Schizosaccharomyces pombe: one gene and its partners. The protein of the gene in region 2 binds, or shares a complex with, the protein of the main gene of each other region. Each region holds a gene or a part of one and is shown on either strand. Other genes may lie near its edges.

Region 1 (10,686 bases), on a different chromosome or scaffold from region 2:
CACGTATAGTTTATTTTTTGAATGTCCAGCTAAAAAATATATTACACGAATCAGTATAAAAAGAATTCCTTTCTTTTATTCTATTTATTTGTAATTGAAAACGAATTAGCTTCCGTTGTCATTTTACCAATTGTTAGTACCTAGAATACATATGGTTTGGTTATATATGTGTATGTATATATTATTTACTACAATAGTACAATGTCAGTTTTAAGACAATATTGAGTTATGTTAAAGGAAAGCAACATTAAAAGATTAAACGAGAACCAGCAAAGTAGGCTAGTGCCAGCAAATTTGCAATCGAAATAATTAAAGAATTTGATTTAAGCACCCGCTCAAAGACGCTATACAGCGTTTCTCAAATTAATATTAAAAAAAGATGAACCATTTATCCCGTACTCTGAAAACCAAATCATCAAATGATTGATATTGTGAAAGCATATCTACCGCATAGTAGAACAACACTTATTTAAGTTAAGAAAGTGAGTGACTCTAACAATAGTTGAAGCTTCGAAACTAAGAAAAGCAACGACAGCATATCATATCAAAAAATCCTCCTTTTGCTTCCGAATCAGAATTATCGTTAGGATGATTTACTCCGACTGCATTATTCGAGGGCTGAGATACATACATAGGTCGAACCCTATCGTAACCTCTAGAAGAATGAGCATAAATTGTTTTTTTAGAAGCAGACTGTTCTTGACGCACCAATGGAGCGTTTTTGCTCGGCAACGCATCGAACGATGAGTAATTTCTAGGACCTCTCACCCCATATGAGGATTTAAATCGCATGTTCTGTGTTTGCAAAGTACTGTTCTTTTTTCTGGAATCATCATTTTGAACAACATTTAAGCCAAGGTAATTCTTTCGTCGCTTCATAGCAACAACAGAAAAATGAGAAGAGCTTGACTCCCAACCTTTACCGTCATTCAATAACATCCAATCATAAACCCCATCATTCGTATCACCATTTGCTCGAAGTACATCATCAAATAACTCTTGTAAAAACGCATAATCCGGTTCTTCATCAAATTCTAACGAACGCACATAAGTCATGTATTTACTGAATTCATTAGGAAATCCAGCACAAAGCTCACTAATGGAGGTAGATTGCTTCTTTTCACTAATCTTTTCGTATTTGTGCTTATTGTTGGCAGCTTTCAATCCTTGCCAAGGTAAACTTCCCCTCAAAAAATACATAAAGACGTGTCCCAACGATTCTAAGTCATCGCGACGGGATTGTTCACGTCCAAGATGCGTGTTTATACTCATATATCTCGCAGTCCCCGAGAGGCTTTTACGTTCACTATATGGTATATGTTGCTTGGTTTTGGGATCACGGTAATATTTGGCCATACCAAAATCAACCATATATACCATGTTTGCATTTCGAGAGGAAGGTCGGCCTATTAGGAAATTATCGGGTTTGATGTCTCTATAAACAAGGTTTTTTTCATGAATCGTCTGAACTCTGGAAAGCTTTGAAATGTCAGAGAAAATTTAAACAAATTGAAAACCTTATAGGAACAACTTAGGAAACTTACCATCTGTTTCGCCGTCATAGCCACCGTTTTGACACTGAATCGACGACCGCACCATTCAAATAGGTCCTCTAAACTAGGTCCCAGTAAATCAATAACAAGGATATTATGTAGTCCTTCCTGCCCGAAATAGTAAACATTAGGAATGCCAGCTATTTGCAAATACGGTTAGTACCAAAGTCTTGACCATATGTTTTGGGTAGCAAAATAAAAACATACCATTTCCAACTAGTAATTTATAAGTTCTGTATTCATCACGGAGCTGAGGTGCCTCCGACTTTTTGGGTTCCTAACGTCCATTGTTAGTATTGTCCATATACTCATCCTAACAAAGAACATACAAATTTTATAGCAATAAGTTGGTTATTCAAAAGATTCATCCCATCGAAAATAACACCAAACGATCCCTCACCTATTTTACGACCCACGCGATAGTGAACCCCTACTACGCTCGTTTGGGAATTCATGATAAATAACCCTGTCACAAGGAATTGACCGAACAGATAAAATTTTTTTTATTGCAAGGACTATGCAGTTTTTATGTAGTCAATTTGTAGCCTCACTAACAAATGCCACACAAATCTCAGTTTGTTTTCACTGCATTCACCACAGAGATTGAAGTCCAATTGCGATTCAGTAGCCGACCAAAAACAACAAAATTTAGAAAACCAATTACTATAATTTAATAGAAGTTACAGGCTTTCTTTCGACTAACAAATGATTATGTGGTTTGAGTGTTTTAGTGGACGTTAGTTGTAAGGTGTACTTGGATGCAACACACTAGGCCTTAGCTTAATTTCCAACGTAAGGGTGAGGCTATCCAGGACAGGGAAAAAGCCCCGAAGGCGCAATCATCATAATAAATCAAGAATCTATAATAAAAAAATTTAATTATTTTAAGCCGTAAATATTCTAACCAGTGATTATCTAGCATCTACCATCGTAAAAACGGAGTTGTCGGAGCTGAGGCTATACGATAGATTATACAAACATAAGTAGTACTAGGTTTAAACAGGTGTTTATCGATTACTGAGGAAATGTAAAGTAATATATAGCAAAATTTCATTTCATTGTTTTGTTGCTACGTCCAGAAGTTTCGGAATCAGAATGTATAACTCTCTATCTTTACATAGTACTGAGAAAATTTGCTTTTCACGAAAAAGCTCCATTTGATAATCTTCCACTTGCGACTCAGAAAGTGAAGAATATACACTTTGCAAAAAATTTTTTTCCGATTTCAAGTAATGTTTACTTTCGTCGTGAATATTGTGTTCCATATGTTGTAACCATATTAAAAAGTCTGATTCTAACATAATTTCCTTTACCATTGGAAAAAATGAAGATTCTAAATCTTCATGCGCATCGATGATTTCTGCCCAGTTCACCTGTAATAGAAAACGGCGATATACGAGATCTTTTAAGTAAAAATACACGTCCTTAGTGATTGTAGCTCTTTCTAATAACTCTAAGGCCAAATCAACTTCTTTGAATGAACATTCCCGTAATGAAAAAGAAGAAAAGAAATCTACCATCTCACAAAGCGTAGTGTATTCGTTTTGAATTAATCGCTCAACAGCACTAGACACGAGCCAGGCTCTGATAGAGTTTTCTGATAGATTTACACAATTGGAAGTTACTATTGCTTCGACAGCTTCTCCCTCGTCTTCTGTAATATCCACAAGTGATGAAAGCATTTCAGCATATTGCTCTTGAATAAGCAAAATGGCTAAATGATTTTCAATCACCTCAGTCTCATTTGACAATATGATATTTTCACCTTCAATTCTATTAGTCCATGAGTAGAGCTTTGCTAGAGCTAACTGCGAAATTTTACCGATAATCCTGTTTTCTTCTGGTTCACAATCACGGAAAAGAATTTCGGAGGCTCGTCCATAATTTCCATTTTGAGCTTCAAATATCCACAAAAGATTCAATAAATCATTGGCTTCAAAAAAAGATATTAAAAGTGATTGATACTCCAAGAAATCATGAAGCAAAGACGCATACTGCTCTGTATCAACCAAATAAAAAAAAATTACATCTGCGAATTCTTCTTTGTATTTATTTAAGCATGCTTTTTGCTTTTGAAGCTTAATGGTAGGATCCTTTGGATCTAGACAATCCAGCAAAATTACCATTGTCTGAAAGTCTTTAACTTTTTCCGCCAAGTCGATTGCCTTTTCCAAATATCCGACAGAAGCTTCTTTGTTAGCGGAAACAAGAAAGTGAGAAACAGCTTACCTAAATATTGTAACCATTCTTTTCGTGAATTGCCAAATTCTTCTTCAAATTTTTGAAAATTATGCGATTTTACTATGGTATCATCTGTTCCATTGTGCAAATCAAAGATCAAAAGGCAATTTTGTTCCACCAGATGCAAAATCTGCTTCCGAAGCTTGTTACTGACTTTTAATATGTGTGCATCTTTCGAGTCACGTACATCGCGATGCAATGATATCGAATCTTCGATCTGTTTTCGTAGTAAATCTAAGTGATCAACTTCAACTGTCCAAAGGTCGCTTCTAATCACAGAGGATGGATCAGTAAATTTTGATATTTTTTCTTGCCTATAAGCAAGCTCATTTCCAAAGATAGTCTAATATTAGTAAACCTCGTTATTTTATAAGAAACATACCCCATAAACGTTATTAACATTTACTATTACTTCAATTCTTTTTTGTGCGTTGCTAGCATCTTGGCCAGATATTTGAGAATATTCCGAGCTTAAATGCTGTAATAACAAATTTATATTCAGGCACTTTTTCAAAAAAAGTTCATCAATATTATCATTTGAAGACATTATTTTCAATACTCGTCGAAGCAAGTTAGACATTTTTTCATTACACATCAATAATTCATATAGGTCTGCCAAAGCACTGCAATAGGCAACTTTTAGCCATAATTGAAGTCTATTAGAAGGAGATAAATGTAGGTATTTGAAGGCAACAAGAACTATTTCCATCAAGTCACGTTGCTGAGAATGTAGTGTTTCTAATACAGACATATTTTTTTTACATGGCGCTGATTGCAATTAGTAATATATCATGAAAAAATTATCTTACTCGTATAAAGTTCATCACAAAGATTAAAGACTGTATTATAGACTTCGCTTTCAGAGAGGTTGTATGTAAAGTCAAAATTTAACAAAAATTGTTCCTATATGTTAGATACGAAAGAATTAACAACTTACACGGAACAAAGGGCTTTGCGATGCAAACTGGGAGAGACGACTTCGTAAATAGGTGGTTGCACTAAAGCTGGTTTTCAGGTAGCTAGCAGAAGATTCAATTCGGATTATACCATGCCCTTCTGTTAACAAGATCAATGCTGGAGTTTTTAGTAAGGTGTGCGTAGATTTTTCATATATCGCATCTTCCATGCCAAAATCCAAAACCCGAGATTTGGAAGTTAGGTTGTTCACAACCAGGTTTTCTTCGACATAAAAAGTGCCTTCTTTCCCTCGCACTTTATGAAACATAGCAAAAGTGACATCGAAGACGCAAAAAACAACTGTACCTGGACTTGGTAAAAATATTCGACACACTGATGGAAGAATTGCAGAAAGATATGAGCGTACATGGCAGAATTGTGAAACATGAGGTATCATCTGATGGTTGAAAGAAATAATGATTGCAGCATAATTGAATAATGAAGCATTATCACGCCAGGAAACCAAACAAGCTAACGTATAAGGATCCGAGGTTGAAACAGAAAAATCAAGGATTAGAAATCGATTTACGTAGGAAAAGGATTCCTGAATACTATCTAAAATTATATCATAAATGTCAAAACCACGTAACAAGTGGTGATCACCAGTCCCGAATATTTCCCAAATTCGCAATGTGCTTCCAGAATGCATAGAATAAACTAATCTCTCACCAGGTCCTTTTATTGAACCACAACGTATTGGAATAACTCTTCCTGAAGTAAATGCAAAGATACTGTTGTATAACGACAGCAAGCAGTTGGGGATGTGCAATCCAGGAAATAGGATTCGAACCTGAATAGAGGAATTGCCATCGCTATCTTTTAAATTCAGATGAAGCAACCGACCTGAACTCAGAGTAAGGAAAAAGCCAGCAGGCTCAGCACTAACCAAATTTTTACAGCTTTCATATCGTTTTAGTTGAATCCTGTAATGAAGAAAACCAGGAAATTCGGGAGCAGAAACCTCAACGTTCATCAAAGAAGTTCTTTCCCAGTAGAAAAGGTCGCCCGAAGCAGGCCACAAAAGTAAAAAGCCAGGCTCTGCTGATGTTGGATCTGGCTTAACAAATCCAGCTAACGGTGGGCTATTTAGACTCTGCTGATCTAGAATACCCGTAAAACGTTCCCAATCAAAGCATATTAAGTTTTGGGGCTGACTTCCATAACCAGCAATCCATGCCTTTCGAACTTTGACACTAATATACAAATAATATTCCAAAATAGAGTCAATTAGTCCAACAACTGGCGCATCATGGATTGTAAAATTGCCAACCTTAGGAGCAGATATTTGGAGTATTTTGTACAAGTCATTTGATGCACAGACTTTCGGGTATTCTGAAGTAGCTAATGTCTCATGTTTGTTTCCGTCGGCAACTTTTTCATGTTTTCCTGCAGGCGTAAAAGCTTTTTCATTTTGAAAAAACCGTCGATGTACAATAAACATTGCAATTCCTCTAATAAGAGGCTCACTAATGTTTAAAAAAGCGAAAGTATCTAAGATCTCTTACGTGTTAAACAGATTATGCTCAAAGATAATTCTGACGATTTTCTAAGCTGAATCGATAGGAAACTTATAATTTAGGATCAAGAAAAATTTATTTGACGTTTTCCAGCATTTACTAATGTTTAAAAAATTAAGGAGACATGGATAAATAGATAAATTGTATTCCTACATCATCTGAACTTTTTAAAGAATAATAACACGACTTCAAAGGGTATAGTATTATGCATCGGTATATTTAATCTCCGGGGTACAGTACTTATCGTTAACAAATCTGATCTTTTTTGTGGTGGTGAACAACCAATGTTTTTAGGCAAAAATGAACCTGCTCACTTCTCATACCGCTCAGCATACCGATCTTTTGCAACTTGAAAGATAGCTCTTTCTAGAAAGGAATTGAGGGTTAAAAGTTATTTATAATGACTGTGCTGGCTCCCCTTAGAAGATTGCATACGAGGGCGGCTTTCTCGTCTTATGGACGAGAAATTGCCCTTCAAAAGAGATTTTTAAATTTAAATAGTTGCTCAGCTGTGCGGAGGTATGGCACCGGCTTTAGTAATAATTTGAGAATTAAAAAATTAAAAAATGCATTCGGTGTCGTTCGGGCAAATTCGACCAAAAGCACCTCTACAGTGACTACGGCTAGTCCTATAAAATATGACAGCTCGTTTGTTGGAAAGACTGGGGGTGAAATTTTCCATGATATGATGCTCAAGCATAATGTTAAGCATGTATTTGGTTATCCAGGTGGTGCTATCTTGCCTGTCTTCGATGCAATTTATAGATCTCCTCATTTTGAATTTATCTTGCCAAGACACGAGCAAGCTGCTGGACATGCAGCCCAAGCTTATTCCCGCGTTACTAAAAAACCCGGCGTTGTATTGGTTACTTCTGGACCCGGTGCTACGAATGTGATTACCCCGATTGCTGATGCATTGGCCGACGGTACTCCCCTAGTTGTATTCTCTGGTCAAGTAGCAACCAGCGCAATTGGTAGTGATGCATTTCAAGAAGCTGACATGGTTGGTATTTCTCGTTCATGTACTAAATGGAATGTAATGGTCAAAGATGTTGCTGATCTTCCCCGTCGTATAGACGAAGCTTTTGAGATAGCTACTTCTGGACGCCCTGGCCCTGTATTGGTTGACCTTCCCAAAGATGTCACTGCTAGCGTTTTGAAGGAGCCCATTCCTATACTGTCTTCTGTACCATCAATGAATCGCAGAATGAAGGAAGTCTTAGAAGAGGGCTCCAAGAACGTTACTGCCAAGATCGATCGTGTTGCCAATTTACTAAAATTAGCCAAGAAGCCTGTGATTTTCTGTGGGCATGGTGTTTTAGCTAATCCCGAATGCCCCACTTTGTTACGCAAGTTTAGCGAAAGGCTGCAAATTCCTGTTACTACTTCTTTGCTTGGACTTGGTGCTGTAGATGAACGTTCTGACCTTAGTTTGCATATGCTCGGTATGCATGGTAGTGGATACGCTAATATGGCCATGCAGGAAGCCGATCTTATCCTTGCTCTTGGTGTTCGCTTTGACGACCGTGTCACCGGTAACGTAAGTTTGTTTGCTCCTCAAGCACGTCTTGCTGCTGCCGAAGAGCGTGGCGGTATTATTCACTTTGATATTTCACCCAAAAATATCGGTAAGGTCGTACAACCTACTGAAGCAATAGAGGGCGATGTATACGAATCTCTAAAGCTTTTAGATTCTGCTACTAAAAATATTAAAATTCCTTCCCGATTTGACTGGTTATCTCAAATTCAAACATGGAAGGAACGCTTCCCTTTCACTTTCACTCGTAGCGCTCCTGGTGAATTGGTAAAGCCTCAAGAAGTCATTCAAGAACTTGACAAACAAACTTCTGACATAAAGGACAAAGTCACTATTACCACCGGTGTCGGTGCACATCAAATGTGGGCCGCTACATTCTATCGTTGGACAAAACCTAGTTCTTTGGTAACCTCCGGTGGTCTCGGTACTATGGGATTTGGTCTCCCAGCTGCCATAGGTGCTAGCGTTGCTGCACCTAAAGATATTGTTATAGATATTGATGGTGATGCTTCATTTTCAATGACTGGTATGGAACTTGCTACCGTCCGTCAATTTGATATCCCAGTTAAAATTCTTATCCTAAATAATGAAGAGCAAGGCATGGTCACTCAATGGCAAAACTTGTTTTATGAGAAACGCTATTCTCATACTCATCAAAAGAATCCCAACTTCGTTAAGTTGGCTGACGCTATGGGCATCAAAGCACTACGTGTAGAAAAGAGAGAAGATTTGGCTAAAAAAATGAAGGAGTTTTTGTCAACTAAAGGTCCTGTGCTTATGGAAGTTTTGGTTGCCCAAAAGGAACATGTGTATCCATTTGTCCCTGGTGGTAAGGCTCTTCACCAATTTATTTTGCATGAAAGCCTTTCATAAATTTTTTTGATTAATTTAAAAACAGCTATTTTGTAAGAGTCAGATGTAACACTTATTTAAACTTGCGTTAATTATCGTGTCACATTCTTTTAGACTCTGGTGGGCGGTTTGTCATTATTTACCCTAAAGCAAATTTGTTTGTTTTGCCTTGTTATCTTCGATTTTGGTTGTTTTTTTTTGTTTTGCTTTCTAACTATGGTTTACTCCGTTATCATAGCTTGTATTTAATTTTGATGATGGAGGTCAATAACATTACAAATTTTGCGAACATAGCAAATGAGAGTGTATAAAATTAATGTACATATATTTTAGATTTTGCCAATAAATTTTAGTAAGATAGTATTATCAATGAGTGCAATGCAATGTGAGCAGAGCGATACACCATGCGATGAATAATACCAGCACATGAATTACCATTTTCGTTTACGATTTTTTTTTGAAGTTTTGGTAAATTTTCTTCCATCTGAAGAATGAAAGGATAAATTGCCATTCTCCTCAGAAGGTGGGCTATGTTTTCTTTTAAAGCTTTTTGGCTTAGATCCCAGCCTAGATGCTAGAGAATTTCCTGGTTTGTGAAAAGGCCGTTGTTTCGACGATTTTTGATTTCGATTCTGCTCTCGCCTCTCCAATTGAAACTCTTTACGACGGGTTTCAAAAAACTCCTTGTTAGATGCATCATTTCCAGAAGGACAGTTCGCTTCACAAAATGCAGTGCTTTCAGGATAATTTGATCTAGATGGAAGAGTACAGTCGTCTCCAAAATGTTCATCAGATGCACAATTATAACAAAACTTTCGAACCTCAGAAACATCAATGCGAACAGGATGTTCTTTTTCGACATAATACCTCCAAATTAAAGGACACGTCGAACTAGTATGAGTATCGGTATGACAAGTCCGACAAACTCTAGGTCCTCTTTTTCGCGGCTCCGAACATCGCGCAGCTATATGACCCAGTAGTCCACAATTCATGCACTTCTTAGTCCAGGGGCATCTTACGGAAATATGATCATCAATTGCTCCACAAGTCGTACACTGTAATACAGTTAGTAACACTATTAAAAAAACAATGTCCGATCAAAATGCATACCAGAACATGAGGACAATCTTTAGATATGTGACCATTCCCTTTACAATTATGGCAAACTATACTTTCTGAGGGATCTGACCCGAAGTATCTACCCCTGCTCACCTAAATTTTATTAGTAAAAAGTATTAAAAAAAAACTTTTCAATCCATACGTCTGCCCATTCACTTCCTTCCACATCTTCCAAAGTACTATCGGAAAGATCCGTAGAGGAGTCATGGTCATCACTTCCTTGAAAATCATGCTTTTCCAAGCTCACCGAATTTGTGATACTCTGGTCAATCGGTAAAGAATTAATTTTTTGTAACAAGGCCGCATCGTCGATGTCTGAACCATCATCACTTTCTGCTTTTTGGTTTGAAACAGTCATGTCCATATATTGACAAGCAATGTAATAATGGCAAGCACAGTTTTCTTTAACACTTAACAGCCGGCCAGTAGTTTACTTCACAATATTCCCAATCAATTTAACAGTTTAAAAGCAAATAAAACATAAAACACTTCAAGTATTTAACTATCAAATGGAAATTTAATAGTTTCAGTAAAGGCAAAAAATTTTTGGTTAAGGTGTGAGTATTCACCTTACATGGATTATATCTGGCTTTCTCATGAGAAGTTTATTTCATTGAAATGAGCATGACAATAAATGAAATTCAATAAATAACTTATACTCCAAATTACAATTGTTCTCTCAAATGCAACACTTAATGCATAACCAAGAATGTCTGGTACTTAAAAGCCCTGATCGTGAAGAGATATTGAAAGTACAGCAGTAACTTAATTATATTAAAATATTAAATGATTGCACCTTCCCGACTCTTCAAGGCGTTGGATTTTAAAGTAGTTGAAAATTCGAGAGCTTCGTTTCAACACTTTGTAAAGCATAGATAAACAGTAATTTAACATTCAATGTTTAACTATG
Region 2 (10,588 bases):
CAAAATCTTCATCCTCAACACGTTCAAAAATTTCAAAATCAAAAAGAATGCCAACAAACACAGAATCTCATCTAGTGAGCATTTTTTTTTTGAACAACAGTAAGCAATGTAATTTAAGCAGCCGGGATTAACGTCACATTACGATTCCGGAAGAATTAATTTAAAGAAGGAATCGTATGGACGTATTATGTTGCAAATTGTAAGCGGATATTTAATAATGGGAAAAAAATAAAAAAAGTATCGACATAACAGTGAAAGACAAGAAGGAAAGACGTTGAATAATCATGACTATTCTTGTTTCGATATGCAGCAAGACAGTAAGCGAAGATGGAACTTCTTTCGTGATTTCTCTTTCGAGGGCGCAGGCTTAGCAGCTTGTTGAGTGTCTACCTGTGTAGGCTGGGTAGTCTGAGGAGCAGGTTGCTCCACCCGTTGCGGTTGCTGCTGTTGAGCGGAAGAAGTTTGCTGTTGTTGTTGAACTTGGGGAGAAGCCGCTTTCCCTGGTATACCATCTTTCTGCGTCGCAACACTGGCATCAACCACGTTATTGACTGGAGTTTGCTTACTTGGGCTAGAGAGCAAATTCTGGCGAGTACGAGCATATGGAGGAATAGTTGACTGCCGCCTGTTATTAGTACCCTGAGTATGTCGACGTTGGACGACATGTTGCTTAGCTGCACTGTATTGCCATCCTTTTCCGTTATTTAGGAGAGTCCAATCATACTTTCCGTCATCAGTTTCATTGATGCGAAGCAGTAAACTGTCGAACAGACTTCGTAGGTAGTCATAATCTGGAGCTTCTTCGTAACCCAAATTCCGAGCATAAATCATGTACTGTAAAAATTCCTTTGGATATCCTTCGCATAGCTCTTTCAAAGGAGTGACTTGTTTCTTTTCACCAATTTTTTCGTATTTTTGCTTATTTGTAGCAGCTTTCAACCCTTGCCAGGGAAGACTACCTCGAAGGAAATACATGAAAACGTGTCCCATGGATTCTAAATCATCTCTTCGTGATTGCTCACGACCAAGATGTGTGTTGATAGACATATAACGTGCAGTACCAGATAGACTCTTATGTTCATTATACGGTCTATGAACATGAGTTTTTGGATCTCGATATTGCTTAGCCATGCCAAAATCGACGGCATAGATAACGTTTTCGGTTTTGCTTCCAGGGAACCCGATTAAAAAATTATCTGGTTTAATGTCACGATAAATAAAATGTCTCTCATGAACAGATTGAATACGGGTGATCTGATTAACCCTGTTAAAATGTAATCACATAAAGCCAATCCGACAACAATCGGATAGACGTTTACAAACTTACCATTTGTTTTGCAATCATGGCAACGGTTTTAGGACTAAAACGTCTGCCACAATAATCAAAAAGGTCCTCTAAACTAGGTCCTAGAAGATCCATGACCAAAAGGTTGTACATGCCTTCTTGACCGTAATAATACACGCTCGGAATTCCAGCTAGGGATAAATGTTAGGAAATTGACGAAAATCAGTATAGCAACCATAGTGAATACTTACGCAAACCCATTAGTAGCTTATAAGTAAGGTATTCATCACGAAGTTGAGGAACCTCGCTTTTTCTGGACTCCTGTGAGAATGCAACGTTAGTACTGAAATTGAGAATCTGGATTGCTCTCTAAAAATAATTACATACAAATTTTAGGGCAATTGGCTGATTATTGATTAAATTTACACCTTGAAATAACATGCCAAAAGATCCTTCTCCAATCTTTTTACCAACGCGGTAATGAACACCAACGACGTTGGAGTGAGACGAAGTAGTTGACATGATGGTCTTTTAAATATTCCACTATGTTAAATGCAGTTTTCTTTAAAATGTTTTTGATTAAAAGAGCGTTCCGGTTTGTTAAATGTTGATGTCTTTCGCACTCGAAAGTTAAAGATGGTTACGGGTAGAAAAATGAAGTAGATGCCGCTAAAATCCACAAAGATTCCATGAAAAACACAAAGAAAGTGACAGTTCAATTATTTCGTTTACAGTTGACAACCTCAGAGGAATCCGAGGCAGCCAACACTGTACTTGGTAGTGGACAAGTAAGCAGTACTGGGTTTTCCACCGATATACCAAGCTAGCGTAGTATAAGGTTGGAAAGCTGAAAATAGATATAATGGTATACTTTCTAGTTTGAGTTAGTGGTAAACAAAATTTTATTTTAGATTCATTAGCTAACAAAATTGACAATGATCAAGGGACTCGGATGAAACCTATCTAACCAAAATTCTTTTATTATCTAATGGGTTTGTATGATTAAGATAAAGGTTAAATCGTATCGCAACTTAAACACATACTAATATAGCAAGTATTTAAATTAGTTTTTGTAAGATAATGATCCAACTTTACGCTTTCACGATTAAGTACTTTGGTAACTTCAGTCACATCTCCAAAGCGAGCGGGTGGGTAAATAGAAATGAGATTTTGAGGATCATATCCTTCAAACTTACAAGAAGAAAGCGAACCAGGTCGGATAAGTCCTTCATGAAAAAGTCCGTTTATGGTCACAGCCTCTAGAGTCCGATATAGTGCTGACATTCGGAATTGGGTTTCTATAATTGCATCGTTTTTACCCTGGGTATCCAAAACTTGGATCCAGTTGTCATGTAAAACAGCTCGTCTCCAAATGGTATTTTCATAAAATCTCTTGGCATCGTCCGTTAATCTGGTGGTTAAAAGAAGACGCAAAGCAAGATAATAGTCGGTAACTTCACCTTCTACAAGGTCCTCTCGACGGTATAAAGAAAAGCTGAGGTACTCCAACAGTTCAGTTGCTTCAACCACCTGTCCGGCAATGAACTTTTTGACTACGCGCTGCATAACCTGACGAGCGATAACAGGCGCTACCTTGGCACCAATCAAATCATCCACAACAGCTTCTACAAGCTGGTATTTTTTCCCCTGAGAACGAAGCCGTTCAACGACTGGCATAACACTTTTGGAAACCATTTTTTGAATATGTAGTTGCTCAAGCTTTTGTTCCACTAAAACCAAATCTCTGATATTTCCAGAGTTGGATGGAACTGCATAAAGAAATAATTTACTTAATGAAAGCTCAGATTCCTTTTTATCAACCAGCTTTTCTTGTTTAGTAGCCAACTGTAGCAATCTATGCGACGCAGCATCGTAGTCTCCTAACCTCATATCATGCATCCATGAAATCTGGTTGTAATCTCGAGATTTAAAAAATTGTTTCAAATAAGATTTGTTGAACCTGTCGCTATTAAGCAACTCTAATGCCATGCCATTTTCAACAAAATAGTCATATAATATAAATGCGAATTTTATACCAAAAAGATCAAGGTAATTGTTTAGTGCATCCGTGAGCTCATTGTCCTCATAAAGTTGATAGCACAATTCTACTAAAGAACGATAGTCTGAGTATTTTTCAGCGATTCGAATGGCACTGCTGCCTTTACCTATATCTGATAAAGTTTGAACCCAAAATCTGCGATTAACTGCAAAAGCTTCCTTGACATCTTGAATTTCACTAGCATCCTTACCACAACGTTGTTCTATCCATCTAATCCTTTCTGAGTACGCGTCAAAGCAAACCTCTGTCAAGGCCACTAATTGTACTTCTAAATTTGAAACGACATTTCTTAGCACCCCTTTATCCTTTATTTTAAAAGTATTCTCCACATCCGAGGTTCCTTGATGTGACTGGACAAGCGCTGACCGAGTAAGTTCAAACTGTCGACACAGCAAAACTAAAGTTTCTGGCGTTGACGTCCAAGGAACCTCTTCTCCAAAGGTATCAATACTTAGCTTATAAATCTTCTGGGACTCACGGCGATAAGCCAAAGCCGAAGATTGAATTGCCAGAATTACTTCATTAGCTTCCATAATTACATCAAGAACTTCCAATGGAAGTTCTTGAACTCGAGAACCTGAATCTATGCAAAATTCATGTGCTTGCGCTATCAGTTGATCAATGCTTTCAATATTATGCAAAAACCACTCTCTCAAAGCGTTATCCGACGAAGCACTTTGAGTGAGTCTATAAATTATGCGTTGAAAAATTAGGGAATGACTAACAGTACTAAATTCAGTATCGATAGTATTCCATAAATATCTAACAGAATTGCATTTTTCGCCCATTACTCTCAACTTGTATAGTACTTGACGATCAACATCCAGTGACATAGACCTAATATACCGGACAAGATTATTCAAAGAATTTAACCTACAGGACAGATGCTGCATTAAAGAAGCAAATAATGGGGGTAAATGAGTAGACCTTGAATTCAAGATGTCCATTCCAAGATCGACAATAATCCTTTCGAGTTCAGGCTTTTTGATGGAGCGAAGGTAATTGCAGGAAAAATCGATCGGATTACCAGGAAGGAAGGAGTAAAAAACAGCTTCTTCCAACTTGCTTTTTACGAGAGATTCGTTATTTGCAGGATGCTCCAAACTATGAACTTCTATTTCAGCGATACCAGAATAAGGGGTTGCTATAAAACATGATTCCGTAGGAATAGAGTATTTTCCTAAAACGTATTTGTAGCAAGTAGACATAAATATGCCGCCAGAGACATTAGTATTCATACGAATAACCTCTTCCCATGATGTTCTCGATACAATATCTTTATCATCCTCTTGGACGTGCACTATAATAACAGCGTCTGTTAAAACCACAAATAAAGAATTCCCTGATGATGAATAATGTAGCTTTGAAGACTCAAGAGATTTAGAAGAAAATGAATACAATGGATGAATATTCATTACCGAGGGTGAGGAAATGTCAGAAAAATCAAGAGAAATAATCATGTAACGGTAATTAATAGAATTTTTCCAACATACTAAAAAACTCACTAGATTTCCGTTTGTGGGGCATATAGTAAGGTCTAACACCTCAAGTCCGCTTGCATCGGGGCATCCTTCTCTCAAAACCTGCTTAAAAATAGGAGACAGATTCATACCAGAAACAAGCTTATTTTCCAACTTCAAATCATATATCTCTAGTAAACCAGATGCCTCAGCGACATACAAAAGATGTTGGTATGGAGAGAACAGTGGTGGGGATTTTAAAGCAATGATATGAATGCTAGGGTAGTTAAAAATCTTCATTTTCTGAAGAATAGTAGAAAAAGTACTAATATCGGAAGCAAATAATTGTACAGAAACGTCAGGTTGACCTGCAGGATCGCGCAGTTGAACAGAAAAAAGACGACCAAAATTGGTAGATATGATGAACTTCATGGGGTTTGAGCAACATAAATGCTCACATTTTTCTTTGGGGAGTAACTTTATCAAACTTTCCATTCCCTGGGGACATATATAAGATTGAGCGAGAGCATTCCCAATTGAAGTCCAATATGCTATACGACCAGAGATAGGCATTACAATCAGCAATCCAGGTTCTTTGTCAGAAGCATCAGAAGGGACGAAGGCTGTCAAGGCATTTTGCCCGGAAAAGCCATTTGAGTCCTCTTCAGGTAGCGGAAATGTTATAGTTGGAGGTTCTGCTGTTCCCAAGCTTTGACGATACGACAAAATAAAGCAAGCTTTTCGGGAATTAATTAATGCATAACCGATGTCTGTGTAGCATGATCCACTTAAAGGATGGTCTAAATTGAATAGAGATGTTAGTTACCTAGTAATGCGCACAGTGAAGAAATAAAAGCTTCGTACCGTTGATAATTTTAGAATTAAAATGTTTAAGTAGACACGAGACCTTGAAATTTTTAGATCTGAGCCAATCCAATGAATTATTATAGGCAGTGCTATCCAAAAGCGATTTCTCAACAGAAATTCGTTTCAAAGGGCTAAAAGATACGACTTCTTCATTTTTCCTTTTACCAAGGATAGAACTCATGACTATTTGACGATATCAGTACTGATACTGGCGGTTATCGTCTATTTGACTCCTTAATACCCTTAGGGATAGAATATGGCTCTGAGAAGGACGAATGTCGACGATTCCTACAAAGAAGGGTTTGAAATCAAAAGAACTTTACTTAGACTCCTATTTTTTACTCAGAATTAAATAGTTAAGCTACTGATAAGAAATTCAGAGTAAAATCAATATATCAATATTTCAAAATCGGTGTATATGTCATATACACTTTTTTCACAAATGTCAACACAGTTTGCTCTTTTGTAATTAATTATTTCTTTGCTTTGGTATATTTAAGGAAGTGATACTTAGGATATTGTCTTTTCCCGGAATGTTGTATAAAACAGAGGTTTTTAAAAAGTAGTTGCGTTCTTCAAGGTCAAGCTTAAACTACTTTTTTAGAACGCATGATCAATTTATATAAATGTTTCATGATTCCGTATTTGAATTTTTTTTATGAGCACGCCAATGGTTGGAAACATCAGATTTCTTCGTAAAATCGCACATCTGGTACAGAAAACTATAAAAGTAGTAGAAAGTTTGGGACTGGGTTGGAAACAACTGTAATAAAGAGAAAAACGCGAAAATACTTTATTTTGAAGTGTCTGAACTGCCGAATCGGAAAGCTATTTTTCATTAGTGTTGTAAATTATCCGAAGGACTGAAAAAGACCAAATTTTACAAGAAAAATAAAATTATTGTATTTTAAGATTTACTTTTGTGATCAATATTCAGGCTAATATCACTTAAGAGTTAAAAAGTTATCTAACTTGATGGCACGAATAAAAAAAATTTTTACTCAGGAAGAATTAAAACAAATCCCCTGTCCATATGATCACAAGCATACAATTGTGCGACATCGTTTAGAATATCATTTGAAGCGTTGTAACGCGCGTCCTGTTGAAAGGACCGATCCATATTACAAGAAGGACATAAATATCTCTACTTCAACAGATGCTTCAGAATCTTCCTCCTTTGAAATCGTCGATTTAAGCAAGGAAGAGTTGTCAAAATGGATTTGTTTGTTCAACAGAATTAGTGATTCTTTACCGACTCCTCAAAAAAAGGTGTTGTTTCACCCGGCAATGAATGCAAGACTGTATGTACGAAGTGCTTTCTCATTAGCTTTTTATTAAGAAGATGGTTGCAAAAGTAGAAACTAACTTCATTTTTAACAGTGAAGAGGGTACAAAAAAAAAGCATGCAATTCAGCAGGTATGTTCGACATGATTTCTTAACGGCAGTCAAAAGCATTAACCATTTTAGGCATCATTGTTAGGACATATGGAAAAACTACATTATTTTGACAACCAAGGATCTATATATTACGAATTCGGTGCTGGAAGAGCCGAGTTATCAAGATATGTTCAGCACTGCTCCCAACAAGAAAACGTATATATACTTATTGATCGTGATTCAAATCGAACGAAGCATGATAGCAGGATATTAAAAGATAGCATCAAAAATAACTGGCCTGAGCCAAAAATTATAAGGTGTAAAATTGATATTAAGGATTTGAAACTCGATTTTTTTGCTAGTGAATTTCGGAATAGTGGTAAACCTGTATTTGCATATTCTAAGCATTTATGTGGTGCTGCCACAGACCTTACCTTGAATTGCTTAAAGTCCTCCCCTCCTAATGCTCTTGTAATTGCCCTTTGTTGTCATCATCATTGCCGATGGAGAACACTTTCAACCTTTGCTAGAGAACAATTAAGTCATTGGGGAATTTCAAATCCACAAGAGTTTCAAATATTACGACAGATGACTGGGTGGGCTGTAAACAGTTTGCGTGAGCATATGCATGCTTCTGGAGGAGCCGACTCACACATCAGTGGTCTTTCTCATGAGGAACGCGTAAAAATTGGGTTGAAGTGCAAGCATATTATCAATTACATGAGAAAATTAGAATGCGAAAAAATGGGTTATGAATCTTCTCTCGTATACTACGTTGGTGAAGAAACGACTTTAGAAAATGTTGCACTCATCGCTTATAAACGAATCAACTAAGTGAATTTCCTTACGTGAGAAAAGTAAGAAAATTTTTTAAATTTGAAAAGATTGCACTCAAAAAAACTAGAATTATTTTGTACTTTTTTGAAGTGTGAGATTGCATATAGCAATCTGATAGTTAAAGCAAATTTTACTTTTTTTTAGCAATCATGATTTCTCTTGAAGTTGGAATTGTTTGGAATATGTAAATTTTGATAGACATTATTTCCTCTTACTTAAAATTAAAAAACTTCCTAACTAGTTAAACTCGGAAATTGTGCAATATTTAAATAATAAAAACTATTTTTTTTAAAAAGTATAAAATTAACAACATTAATAAATAATATGGAATATGTATGAAGGTTTCATATTCAACTTTCTACCTTCTTCAATTCCAGTCTTTGACCACCGCATAGCAATATCGCAAAAATGTCGAAAATTCGCATTTTAGTAGGAGTCAAGCGAACTCTAGACTATATGTTAAAGCCTCGCATCAATGCCACTAAGACTGCTGTTGATTTATCGGGGCAAAAAATGAGTGTATGTTGAAAGGAGAGTAATCATTTCAGTACTGCTGTAATTCGCAATTTATATTTGACTAATCGTGAAAAGATTAATCCATTTTGTGATATTGCTGTAGAAGAGGCTATAAGGATGAAGGAAACTTTGAAAAATAGAATTGAGGACACTTTAGTAGTGACCGCAGGACAAACTTCTTCTGAGCCCATTCTTCGCCAGTGTCTTGCTAAAGGAATTGGCCGAGCAGCACTTATAAATGTTGGCGAAAAAGAACTTGAACCTCTTTCAGTAGCCAAACTTTTGAAGGCAACAGTCGAGAAGGAAAAAAGTAATCTGGTTTTGCTGGGCAAGCAAGCTATTGATGATGATGCACACCAAACAGGTGGTATGCTGGCTGCTATGCTTGGATGGCCTCAATTCACTAGCGCAAGTAAAGTCCGTATTGAAGGTGACAAAGTTATCGTTACAAGAGAAATTGACGGCGGTGAAGAAACCTTAAGTAGTACACTTCCAGCCATTATTACCACCGATTTACGTCTTAATGTTCCTAGATTCGCGAATTTGGCAAAAGTTATGAAGGCAAGGAAGGCTCCTTTAGGCAAAATGTCTCCCGAAGATCTAGGCGTAACAATTGATCAAAGACTACAGACTGTTTCAGTCTCCGAGCCTGTTCAAAAGAGACAAAACATAATGGTAAAGAGTGTTGATGAAATGGTTAAGACATTAAAGGAACTTGGCGCCCTCTAAGATTTTTTCGTAAAGTAAATACCGTCTTGAAATTTGCTAGATTTCATGCTCACTTTTCTTATATGCAGAGGTTTCCCATTACAAATAAACCTTACAAGTTATTTCTTTCTTTTGTTTTTGTTTGAACACTGAACGCTTTGAATATTTGTTAAGTTAAAGAAATTCTTTGATCATCGAAATATTCGTTCTCGTTCGTAAATTTCAATTCACCTCTGTATTTGCTTTGTTTATTTCAGTAGAATCGGTATTCATATATTATTTTTAAGCCCCGTCAGTACAAACGTTATTAAACAACCATTGATTGAGTTACATCTGTCATAATCAATAAAATTTTAACCTCTTCCACTCTATAATATTTAGAATATAAATCTATGTTTTTATACTTTATTCATGAATGTTTGTAGCGTAATCTCTGCCACCAAAGTAAGCCTAATTCCTCAACCGCAAGTAGCCTTCATCACTATTTAGCCAGGTATCATGCAAGTTAGGTGTTTTCAAAAACTCCTTCCTCTTGACTATCGAACTGATTGCTAAATAGAAATCAATTTTCCCTTAAAAATTCAAGTCAATTAAATTGATTTTTTAAGCCCTTCAACCTTAATGTTTGGCTTCCTTAAGTTGTCATACTACTTAGTTCACCAACATAGACAACCCAGCACATTGCCAACATTTTTATAGACGTGTTGAAACTTACAATTTACAATTGGTTTTGATGCTTTTTGATTTCTATGTTATCTAAAATCTTTATTTTGCTTGCGATTTCGTCTGAAGAGAAGTGTTTCTGAAATCTACAAATTTTGCAGAAGAAATTGAGTAGCTCAAGCAGAACCCTATCCTCCTGAAATTATTTCTGGATAGTGTACGGAATTGATTTTTAGATGTCTCAAGGTTTGTCTTTTTGTGTCCAAAAACAGCACTAACCTTTAATTTAACAGACGTCTTTAAACATTTGACCAGCAAGCAGGTTCAACGTACACGAGCTAGGTGTGTTTTAAGATTACCAATTTTTAAATTTAAAATTGGGAGTGAAAATATTATTTATTTTTTTATATTTTTAATCTTTTTGCTAATGGATTTAGATCTTTTGGAGCTAGTTTTGAGAGACCGTTAGCATCGTTTCTACCTAAAAAGGAAAATAAGAACTTATTAAGTAACGCTGCTCGAGTTAAGCTTTTGACTTTCTCTAGTAGTTCTCCTTACTCGTTTTCTTATAGTCCGGTTCTGTCAAGAGATGCAAATGACGGTTATATCCCTTTAGATACTAGTTCGCGGGCAAATTTGTGGGAATCTGTGACAGACTATGATTTACAGCATGCCAATGAACCTCTTGTCGGGAACTACTATATTAGCACCGAAGCTTTGGGAGACGGCCTAAATCGATCTCCTTTCACCATTAATCCCGAAAAACGTAGGTCTTTGAGCGATATATCGTATGTTCCTATTCCTCATAAAGAACA
Region 3 (10,565 bases), on a different chromosome or scaffold from region 2:
TCAAGCAAGGAGATTCTACATTCAGAATGAATAAAGTATCCTTTGAGAACAACGAAACGTAGTTTCCCTGAGGATCTAAAGCTATTGCTTTTAACGTCCTGGGCATTTGTTCTTTTGAAAGTACAAGCTTTGTACACCATTGACGTAAATCCCAAACTACAAGACACCTATCTAACCCGACGGAGGCAAACGTCTTATAGTTTTCAGATACAGCAATTTTTAAAATGTCAAGCTGATGATGAACAGGAACGGGTTCTATTCTGAATTTTTCCTCATGTAATGTTGTATCGGTTGAAAGCTCGTCATGGTCAGACCAGCCTCGCAAAAGTGCTTTAACAAGCAACCCAACCGCAAAATCAATTGCGAACAGTATGCTGAAAAATGTTGACCATCTCCATACTCTCCGGTCATGAAACGAGTTGTAGACATTAGTGTAATCACGACGGTTAACAGTGTCAAGAATAACTGGTCGATACAAAGCAATAACAAGGTTTTCCGCCATCGTCTTCTCTTTTAATGCTTCTAAAAAAGTGGGGTCACCAAACCAACCGGTCGTAATCAGTGGAAATAACTTTCGTTCTCGTAAAATACGGCCTAAACGATGATATAACGTAATGAGAAAGCGAATGTTAGGAGATGCTAATCTCCAAGACCCATTGATATCTGTACTGGATTGGAGTTGTAAATAAATAACGTACATATGAAATGAAACAGTACCAAGATTATCGATAATCCATGGAGACCACATGAATCTTACGTATTCTAGATACGGAACCCACCATTTTGAGTTTCGATTAGAAGAGTTTGAATCTAAAAAATCTTGCAACTCCAAACGACGTATATCGACACTTAGGACCGCTAGAAAAAAACTTCCATGCAGTAAAAAACTAACGACGAAAGAACAGGCAAGAAACAAACAAAACTCCTGCACCAGAGGATAAACAAAGAAGCTCAAGACAAAAAGAGTCAATAACTTCTTAAGTAAGGATGAAAAGGAGGCAATAATAGTACTAGAAAACCCTTCCATTATACGAGAAGGAACACGCTTCGTCTGAGGAGAAGCGATTACTGCGCGTAAAAGTCGAAATCTGATAAGTTAGTAATAAAACGTTCACATAATGACGAAGTATAGCAAAAAAACTTACGAGTTTTCAATGTCCATAAATATGATAATATAGTAAGCCATAGGCCATGGACATATGGGGCCCGTTCTTTCAAAGAAATACAGCAAAGAACAGGTAGAGAAGTAGGCAGTACCGCTTTGAATAAATATAGTCGCTGTAAGACCAAATTTAGCACGAATATCATGCAACCGCACAAGTGACAAATACAAATATGCAAAAAGTCCGACTCCAAACCCAACCCATAGGTACCATCTGTAAATAACAGTAAGGTCAGGAATACGTGCTACGACAGTGGTAGGGGATGTATCAAGTAAACTTGCATATAGATTAGGAGTTTCGGAAATAAATTTCTTTAAAACAACATGAAAAGTATCGACTTGTTCAGGCTTTAAAAAGTAAGTAATCACAAAAGCACTAAGCGAGTCAAAACCTTCGGCTATTGTATCATTCCTAAGCTTGTTCACTTCACGCTCATTTTCAGGAAGCCCTTTAGTATATGAATATTGAGCTACAGGATCAACCTTACCATAATATTTTGGTATTGGAGAAATAGTTACACAGGATTTTTCATCTCTTATGCAAGGATACCCGTATTCCGCCAAATATTGATGGAAGCTTGTTTCCCAACGATACGCGTTTGAAAGATAGTCTTCGGAAAACACTGATGTGTTCGTTCCTAAAAGATAGAGTTGTTTCGTAATAACATTTGCTTCAGCATTGATGCTCTCGGCATACCAAGCCGACCATCTAGCTAATGATTGATCGTAAAGGGATTGCTGATACGCTACCAACGACGAATATATACCTGTGATTGATAAAAGAGTAAACACAAGAATGAAATACCAAGGATTATTGGCAATACAGTAGCTGTACTTGGCAAATAATGAAGGGTTAACTTGCCGAGCATACCCTCGTGAAATTCGGCCTTTTCCAAGAGTAAAAATCCTCATAACGATATTTTCAGTTCAATAACATTGGTAAACGTTCATTAATTAGATCTTTACAAGACCGATATACCCAATTCACTGAGAATCAGTTTTCGCAGGTCTTGGTGTTTTGTACATTCCTTCGGGACCCGACAAATTTAAATTCGGGCACACGGCGTGCAATTTCCGTACACTATTATTAATAGAGAATTATTTAATCTGAAACCAAAAGTTTCAAAAAAATGTTATAAAATAAGGAAATAAAAATTCAAATATATAATTATTGTTGGTTCCAACATTCTGCCGATACTAGCCGTATCTCAACAATATTTCCCAACGGACAACACTAATTAGCAAACTGCGGCAAGCTGCAGCAAAAAGGTCGGAATTATAATTCGTTAAAGATATGTAAATACCAATGCTATCGAAAGTATATTTATATTCAGAATTTAATTTTATAGAAAGAAGTTAGTTATTTATGGCTACCCATCGCCTCAATGAAACTAAAGATGATTTAATTACTAAAACTCTGCCAAGCATATTGCTTTTTTTCTGGATTTTTCTAAATGAGAAGGTTAAGCTGCGTAAATAATTCTTTGTTGCCTTTATAAATCGATATTCATGGCCGATGACATTTCAGCTGTAACTTGAACAGCGACATCCTTCAACTGTAAGTGATATTCTGCTACAATTGCATCTAGAGTAAGTAATTTTTGTGGAAGAAAGTTAGGGTCAGGTTCCTTGTCCACGGACATGTCTGTCACAAGAATCCATGTATCTTCTTTCGGAAGCAACTCCAGAGTGTTCAAAACAATCAAATAATGTTCTATTATAAAAGTTCTCTCCTTTTTTCCAATTAATTCTGTAGTAGAGATATACCGGCTCAGTTTTTCATAAATAATTGCTGCTGCGTCTCGATAGTTTTGATGTTTATACCGCCAACTAAACAAAATATTATACCAGCATGGTTGTGATTCAACGTTAATCATTTGAAAGGCCTTTCGCTCAAGCAAATTGTCGACGTCCTGTCTTAACGTTGGCATTGAATAATTTAGAAGCTGATTTATTTTACCTTGTTTCGTTAATTGATTTACAAAGTCTAGTAAACATGACTTTTTCAAAGGCGTAGTGGATAAAACCATCAATGCAACGTGAGCAGCGTCAAACTTTCCTGCTGCACAAGCGGTTTTTAAAGTCTCATGGGTAATTGCAATAGACAAATCTTCGTCGTCAGTCTCTTTCGAGGCATCTGCTAATAAAGAAAATTCTAATGCATCTATATATGCACTCTCCTCGAACAGCTTTTTTGATAGATGAAGGTAATAACACGATAATAGGTTCTGATGGTGGTATTTTTCAGCAATTTCTTGAAACTCCCGTAAAACTGCGAATTGAGAAGTATGTGAGTAAAGGACTAGAGAAGTAGTCTTGAAACATCGGACAGCCTTAACAGCTTCTTTCGATTTGAGATAAATAAGTGCTTTCAAGTAGACTGCAATTGGGTCAGAGTTAAGCCACCCTATTAATTGCATACATGCATTATATTGTTTGAATAGAAACAACTTTTCTACAAGTTCAGTGACCAGATCATTTTCCGTATCGTCCCTTATAAAGATTGCCGACAAAGACGATATCACGGTAGCATGTAAAGGTGAAATTTGGCTTTCTGAGAAACATTCGGAATAATTCAAAGCGGAAAAAAACTGAAGGGCTGTGTTAACACTTGCTAAAGCTTCCATAGTATTTAAATTACAGTTTGTTGAATCAACATCCTCCTCCTCAAATTTTTCTAGCAAAAGTGCAGAATTCTCTAAAAGAAAACTCACAAGACGCCAATCTTCTAGTAAAGAAAGAAATAATTTATCACATCCTGCAAATTTGGATTGTAACTCATAATCCTGCTGGCTAGTTATCAAAGAAAGTAGAAAAATAAATCCTTCAATAGAGACTTGAAACTTTTTCAAAATACTGTCCAAAACCCGTGCTACCGATGCACACAAAAATAAGGAAGGGGATTGAGCGGAATGGTTGTAAATATCGAAACTTCTTAAGCGTTGGATAAGAGAATCAATGTCGCGCATCGGGTTTTCAAGAGAAACTAGAGTATCAATTAAAGTACTGATATAATCTGGATCGACGTTGGGATATATGTGCTTGTCATAAAATACCCACAATGTATCAAATAAAGAATAAGATGGCAAATCCTGGACTAGTTCTCGTAATGAGTATCTAATTTCAGATAAAGTAGAAAATGACATACAGGAATGTAAACTCCTACCAAGATCCAGAATTTGATAACCTTCAATTAGAGAAGGATCATCTGTTTCAAGGGAACTAATTAATTTGGTCAACGGCTCTTCGTCAAAGGATTCAATGAGATAAGGATCCCTAATAAAAGCCACTTTATTTGCATAATTGATATATGTAACAGCGTTCGAAGGATCGAAGTTAATACTTAATATTTCATCTCCAAAATGATCCAGATATGCAACAAGTTTCGCAAACCTTTCCCATTCATTATATAATAGCCGCTTATATTCATAATAATCGTATCCAGTTAAATCTGAATTTGGCTCTATTTGGATCGTTGAAACTATAGACGACAAAACGGCATTTTTAAGTTCACTTATAGTAAGTGCGCCAAATTTATCCAGTTTATTTTTTGAAACTTGCGAGGAGCTGTTTTGAAAGCTTAAAAGAGCAACTTGTATAGACTCAATAGATGTATTATGTGCAAAAATGTGTTGTAGCCAAATCTCTGAGATATCCCCAGACGACATGTTTGTTGGAACGTCAAAAAAGGTTTTTTCTATGAGGGAAAAGCTATCCAAAGAGTGACTCCAAACGCATGAAAAACTCTCGTCCTGATCTAGACTAAGGTTGCATTTTTGGATAACGGTATTTAAGTTGCTTTTCCAAGCAATAATGAGCAAAAATTTAGATTGAGAGCCCTCTGACGATATCAGTTGAAAATCAGAAAGCATCCATGGTATGAACTCATCGTCTGGTAAAGAAGGAGGAATTATGCCCTTCTCGATGACAACATTTAATTTAAAAGAGTGGGCGTTTGCGTTAAGTTTGTAAATTGAAAAAGAGCCATGAGAATTATCTGGGTAATACAGAGCGATGAAAGAATTAGTGGTGTGATCTGAAGTTAAATAAGGAAAGGATTGTAGAGGAAGTATAGTCTGTGACAGTTCAATGGTTTCGACGCATTGATTAGTAGACAAATCCAAAACTTTTAACTTATAGTCAAGCGATAGCATCACAAGAACATTATAGGTAGACAAAAAAATCATTGAAATAATAGTATTAGGAGAGCGGTAATCTGCCTTAAATGCCTGAAGTGATAGATATTTTTTTAGGGAAAACAAATAACTAGAATCATCAATATGCTGTTCGTAGTGACTAGCGTCTTTTGGATTTAATATAATCTTTGTTAAACCTCCATTGAAAAAGCTTACACAAATTTCAGACGTGCTAATTGCGGCCATTAAATCGGGTTTTTGATTCAGAAAGGATATTGGTCGGTAACAAAGACACCAATCGTCGTCTAAGCGAGCGTCCGGTAATTGGAACCAAGTTTTAGATAATCTAATATAATACAAAACGCGAGCGTGAGTAATAGCATATATAATGGTCGTGTCGGAATGCTCACTGAACGAGAAAGCTACACCGTCCTTCATTACGTTGGATGGAAAATGAATTTTCACATTAAATTTTGATAAAGGCTCCTTCTTAGAATTTAATGAAACATCAAAGATAGTGAGTGTTCTGTTTTGGAATATACTCCATCGTAAAGTTTGTGAACCTTTGCTTTTATTTGAGGTATAAACACCTGCATCATATGCTACACATTCCTTTTTAAAAAGTTTTTCATTATCATCAGCTGTTTCTATAGCTTCAGAATCGTCTTCCGAGTCGTTTTCGAGAGCTGGAACCCACAACGCCAAAGTTCCTTCCAGACAAAAAGATTGTAAGTCTATCGGAACTACCGCATGCTTTAATTCATTCATATTTTGATTTTATTTTTTACTGGTAGCGGTAATACCAGTAGAAATACCAAACAAATAGCTAACAATAGGGGGCAGTTCTGGTTGAGTATCGTAGACAACGACCTACACGAGTTAGCGTAAGACAGGCCAGTCCTACAACGAATTTATGAGAAACGCGTAAATACGAGTATATTTGTAATTCTTTAGCTTTTTAGGGTAGAGGGAGATGGAATGTAAAACTGAATTTTCTTCTTGAAGATTAAGTTCCTTAATAAAATAGAATCATTTGATTGTGGATGAAGAAAGCTAAACAATTTGATAGTTTTTATTAATCGAGCAATTCCTTTGTATTCATAATAATAAAAAAGGAATCAAATATTCATTTAAAACTCAAGAGCTTAAATGGATTCTCTATTTTATTTGTGAAATTACATACAACAGTAAAAGATCTTCAAGATATCAGAAGCCTTTCTTAGATTATTGTTAGTTTTTTTTATTATTTTTTGTATACCTGTAACTTTTTAGCTGTTGTTTTAAGAGATTAAATCTATTTAAATTAACAGTACTCATCTTTAGGGTCTTAATTTACAGCCTTTCAATCTTTTTTAATAAAATAGTTTTCTAATTTTCTAGTTTTGTTTATTTTTAAATTTTGCAAATTCTTAGTAAATAAAACATGTAATATTTTCAACCATACGTTAAATTGTAAATTACATTTTAATAAATATTAATTACGTGCAAGGGTGAATTATTGTTCATTGGCATGCAATTTATAATTTATTTTTTTTATTGCAGATACAACCAATTCTAAGTCTAATAGCCAAGATCTCTTATACCTGATTCAATATTACAATTGCGGTGATATGTGCTTGTACGAACACCCGCAACTTTATAGTAATTAAGCGGTAGTACATACACTGGTATCACGATAAAGAATTAGCTAAAGTAGAAGATTGTAGCAATGGCATCAATTGTGATAAAGACATTTTCTGGATGTGATCCACCGGTCTATGCTAGAATTAAAGGATCGACAATAAATATCCAGAAGAAGAATTAACCAAATGGGTTGAAATTATCTCTAATAGCTAAAAATCTATTCATTTAAAACTGAAAGAGAATTAAAGGAGTAGGAGTACCAAAAGGTAAAAATAATCCAAAGATATTAATTTTGACTATAAATCATCACAAAATTTAGTAGCATACAACATAAGTAAAAAAGAACATTAAATAATTCTAGATATATTTGATAAATTCCCCTTATTCTCTACTAGCTATGGGTGTGAGAGTTTTGTAAGTTCGAATTCAATCTATCCGATATAAATCTCTTAGAGATTGGGTGTTAACTAATAGGTAAATCCCTGAATTTGACTTTAGTCTATGACACACTCGTCAAGTTATGACTATTTCATTTATGTACTTAACTTCTCTATCTCATAAACATAAGCACCAATTTGGAATATACTGAATTAACGAAACAGAGCGTAGGCAATTTGACTTCTATTACGTTACTGTATGTTTACAAGTTAGAAAGTCCTAACTTGTGGCTATAATACTTTGCAGTGATGCTTATGAAATCGCGAGTAAACTTATTGTTTAAAGGACCATTTTTCTTTCGAGAACGTTGTTTTCAAACACTCTTAAATCCTGTGATCGCAATTCGACAGCTATCGCATGGATCGCTTAGAAATTCTCGATCATGTAGAATTGATGCGAAATCGAATACATTAACGAAAGAAATATTTCCCAAAATAAATAATGAATTCAAAATCAAAAATCGATTTTATAGCTCAAAGCTTGCGAACGACCAATTCACGCTTCAAGAGCAATGTGACGAGAAGGGAATCCCTTTTATTTTATACGTGAAAGATTCAGCGAAAAAACAGTTAGAAAAAATTGCAGAAAGGAAACCAGAAGAAAACTCTGTTTTGCGCGTCACTGTCGATGGTGGTGGATGCCATGGATATCAAGTATCTTTTCGCATGGACAACAAAATTGGAAATGCTGACACGTAAGTGATGTGGTTAAGAAGACTATAAGTTTTAATTAAGTATTTCCTGGTTATTGACTAAATATCTAGGGTATTTGTGCGTGGAAAAGCCAGGGTTGTTGCTGACAACATTTCATTACCTTTGATAAGTGGCTCTGAAATTGAGTATACAAATGAACTTATTGGTTCCTCTTTTCAACTTTTAAACAATCCACGTGCCAAGACTTCTTGTGGTTGTAATGTCAGTTTTGATGTTGAATGAGATTTATACTTAAAATAATACATTTCTCTTATAATCACTTTTCTATTTATCAAATATAGTTTAACAAAAACTCTGCTTACAATTTTTTGCTAGTATGCCAGTAAGTAAACCAAAAGATACAAATATAAAAGTGTCATCAGTCAAATCGATCGAGTTGTTGACTAATTGAAATTATTGCTCAAAAAATATAATTAAATATTAATAGTCTATTCTCCAATGATCTTTCTAACACGACGGAGGATACTGTCCTTTTCAGGATCATAAGGATCGTCTTTGCTAGGAATTTCCAATACAGCAGGGAATGCCTGCACATGGTTTTCAATACGATCACGTATTCTTTCAGCGGCAAACTGGTTAATCAATACAATCGCAATATCCTTCCTTTTCGTAGTATAATCATCAAAAGCTTCAGCAATCTGCTCATCTGTAGTCTCTACATAAAACAGCAAGTTAGCGAAAACACGATTCCATTTTTTAACAGATAATCTTACTCTGAGTAATTATAAAAAAGTTTTTGTCACCGTTTTCATTTACCTGACCAGTTCCAGCTAAAAGCATCCCAGTAACGGTATCATCGTCTCCAATTACAGAAACAAGTGTCCGTTCTCGATATGATTGTGAAGACATGATTTAGAGAGATAAGTATTTAGAAAATCTAGGTAAACGTCCAAGCAGGAAAATAGGAGAGTATGGTGCTACTTGAAAGCGCAACTTCTGGACTAGTAGGCGATTAAAAGTGTTCAGTGGTTGAATCGTAAATTTTCACAAAGCTTAGATAAATATTTAACAGAAAGCTATGGCTCTGCCTCTACAATCCTCAAATGTATTCCTGAGTTTAAGTAGTGATGGTGGATGAAAGTGTAAGGTCCAATACCGATAAGACATATCTGACACTTAACTAAGGTACCTTTTATTATGAAGACTTCTGTAATTAAGAATATGATATTATTATAATAGGAATTTGTGAAAATTCGACTCCCATAAATTGTTCAACAAATATCATTATGCAAATAAACTGATGAATGTAAAAATAATAAGATGGCCCAGATGACACAAATAGGATTATTTTAAAACTTAAATTATAATATTCAATTATTTTACTTTCAAAGGCTGCGAAGTAAGTACTTCGATATAATCCAATGCCGTAAAGCATACCAAGAAGGATATAAATATAGATGAGAAATCAGTTAATTATTATCTGTTGAGAATGAAGCTGAAAAGAATAAATTAATAATTGATAAGCATATGAGCCGTTGTTGGCTTCCAGTGTTGAGCAAATTCGAAATTTGGGTTGCTTTCCTACATGCATGTTCAAACCTACAATCAATTTGTTACATATCGAAATAGAAGCTTTAATTTGAGAAAAAAGTGTCATTTATATATTTTTTGAATCAGCTTCCATCTCAAAGTCCATACCTCATTTAACGAAACATAACGAATTTTTAAGTTGATGAAATTGATATTTGTAAAATTTAACAGTGCTAAGTTCACAACACCATTTGTCTATAGTGTGACACAGTTGTCTTTTACCACAAAGCTCTCACTGAAACAATGCTTGGGCTTGGAAGAGTATTTTCATCCGCTGTACGTCCTCGGACGCTTATTCGAGCACCCATTAATAAACGCAGTTTCCTTTGGTACTCAACTGAGGCTGCTAAGGAAGAAAAGCCTGCTGAAGAAAAAGTTGCCGAAACAGAGAATGTTGATGTTAAGGAACTTCAATCTAAGCTTTCTGAGCTTAAAAGTAAATATGAAGCAAAGGACAAAGAGGTTGCGGAGTTAAAGGGTAGCATTCGCCAAAGCTTAGCTGACTATCGTAATTTGGAAAACCGCATGAAGAGAGACATGGAGCAAACACGTGCATTTGCTGTTCAAAAGCTTACTAAGGATCTTTTGGATTCTGTCGATAATTTGGAGCGTGCTCTTTCAATTGTTCCAGAGGAGAAGCGTAACAATCGTGAGTCCAACAAGGATTTAGTTGATCTTTATGAAGGTTTAGCAATGACTGAATCGAACTTAATGAAAACCTTAGGAAAATATGGTTTAGTTCGCTATGACGGTATCGGAGAAGATTTTGATCCTAACATCCATGAAGCTGTTTTCCAAATCCCTGTTGAAGGTAAAAAGCCCAACACTGTCTTCCATTGCGAAAGCAAGGGTTTTCAATTGAATGGAAGAGTTATTCGTCCTGCCAAGGTTGGTGTTGTTAAGGGAGACGACTAGAGGAGCTAGTCAAAGATGATAGCAAGGAGCATACGAATACGTCGTTTC

Evidence for each region.
Region 1: nup132 (region 2) and nup131 share a complex: the UniProt entries of both Schizosaccharomyces pombe proteins name them as parts of the npc107-120 complex.
Region 3: nup132 (region 2) and nup120 share a complex: the UniProt entries of both Schizosaccharomyces pombe proteins name them as parts of the npc107-120 complex.

The regions. Positions count from the first base shown.
Region 1 is NC_003423.3:970,441-981,126, forward strand, and holds nup131 (nucleoporin, WD repeat Nup131), read right to left. Parts: upstream 6,407-10,686; 5' UTR 6,193-6,406; coding exon 4,732-6,192; intron 4,698-4,731; coding exon 4,604-4,697; intron 4,563-4,603; coding exon 4,177-4,562; exon of another isoform or gene 4,138-4,176; coding exon 3,783-4,137; exon of another isoform or gene 3,742-3,782; coding exon 2,609-3,741; 3' UTR 2,582-2,608; downstream 1-2,581. Other genes in the region: serine/threonine protein kinase (CK1 family) Cki2, read right to left, coding at 517-1,479, 1,545-1,693, 1,761-1,830, 1,883-2,008; ilv1 (acetolactate synthase catalytic subunit), read left to right, coding at 6,669-8,678; TRAMP complex zinc knuckle subunit Air1, read right to left, coding at 9,089-9,712, 9,768-9,869, 9,919-10,140. UniProt on the Schizosaccharomyces pombe protein: Functions as a component of the nuclear pore complex (NPC).
Region 2 is NC_003424.3:2,772,635-2,783,222, reverse strand, and holds nup132 (nucleoporin, WD repeat Nup132), read right to left. Parts: upstream 5,936-10,588; 5' UTR 5,853-5,935; coding exon 5,669-5,852; exon of another isoform or gene 5,613-5,668; intron 5,605-5,612; coding exon 2,300-5,604; 3' UTR 2,170-2,299; downstream 1-2,169. Other genes in the region: serine/threonine protein kinase (CK1 family) Cki3, read right to left, coding at 289-1,254, 1,328-1,476, 1,537-1,606, 1,673-1,807; tRNA 2'-O-methyltransferase Trm13, read left to right, coding at 6,647-6,972, 7,052-7,088, 7,140-7,883; etf2 (electron transfer flavoprotein alpha subunit), read left to right, coding at 8,295-8,405, 8,478-9,131; serine/threonine protein kinase Ppk6, read left to right, coding at 10,010-10,019, 10,067-10,115, 10,211-10,588. UniProt on the Schizosaccharomyces pombe protein: Functions as a component of the nuclear pore complex (NPC).
Region 3 is NC_003423.3:4,012,702-4,023,266, forward strand, and holds nup120 (nucleoporin, WD repeat Nup120), read right to left. Parts: upstream 6,150-10,565; 5' UTR 6,067-6,149; coding exon 2,656-6,066; 3' UTR 2,525-2,655; downstream 1-2,524. Other genes in the region: Sre1 cleavage-activating protein Scap Scp1, read right to left, coding at 1-1,088, 1,146-2,074; Fe-sulfur protein Isa2, read left to right, coding at 7,608-8,053, 8,123-8,294; vma7 (V-type ATPase V1 subunit F), read right to left, coding at 8,501-8,727, 8,786-8,921; GrpE domain-containing chaperone mge1, read left to right, coding at 9,846-10,517. UniProt on the Schizosaccharomyces pombe protein: Functions as a component of the nuclear pore complex (NPC).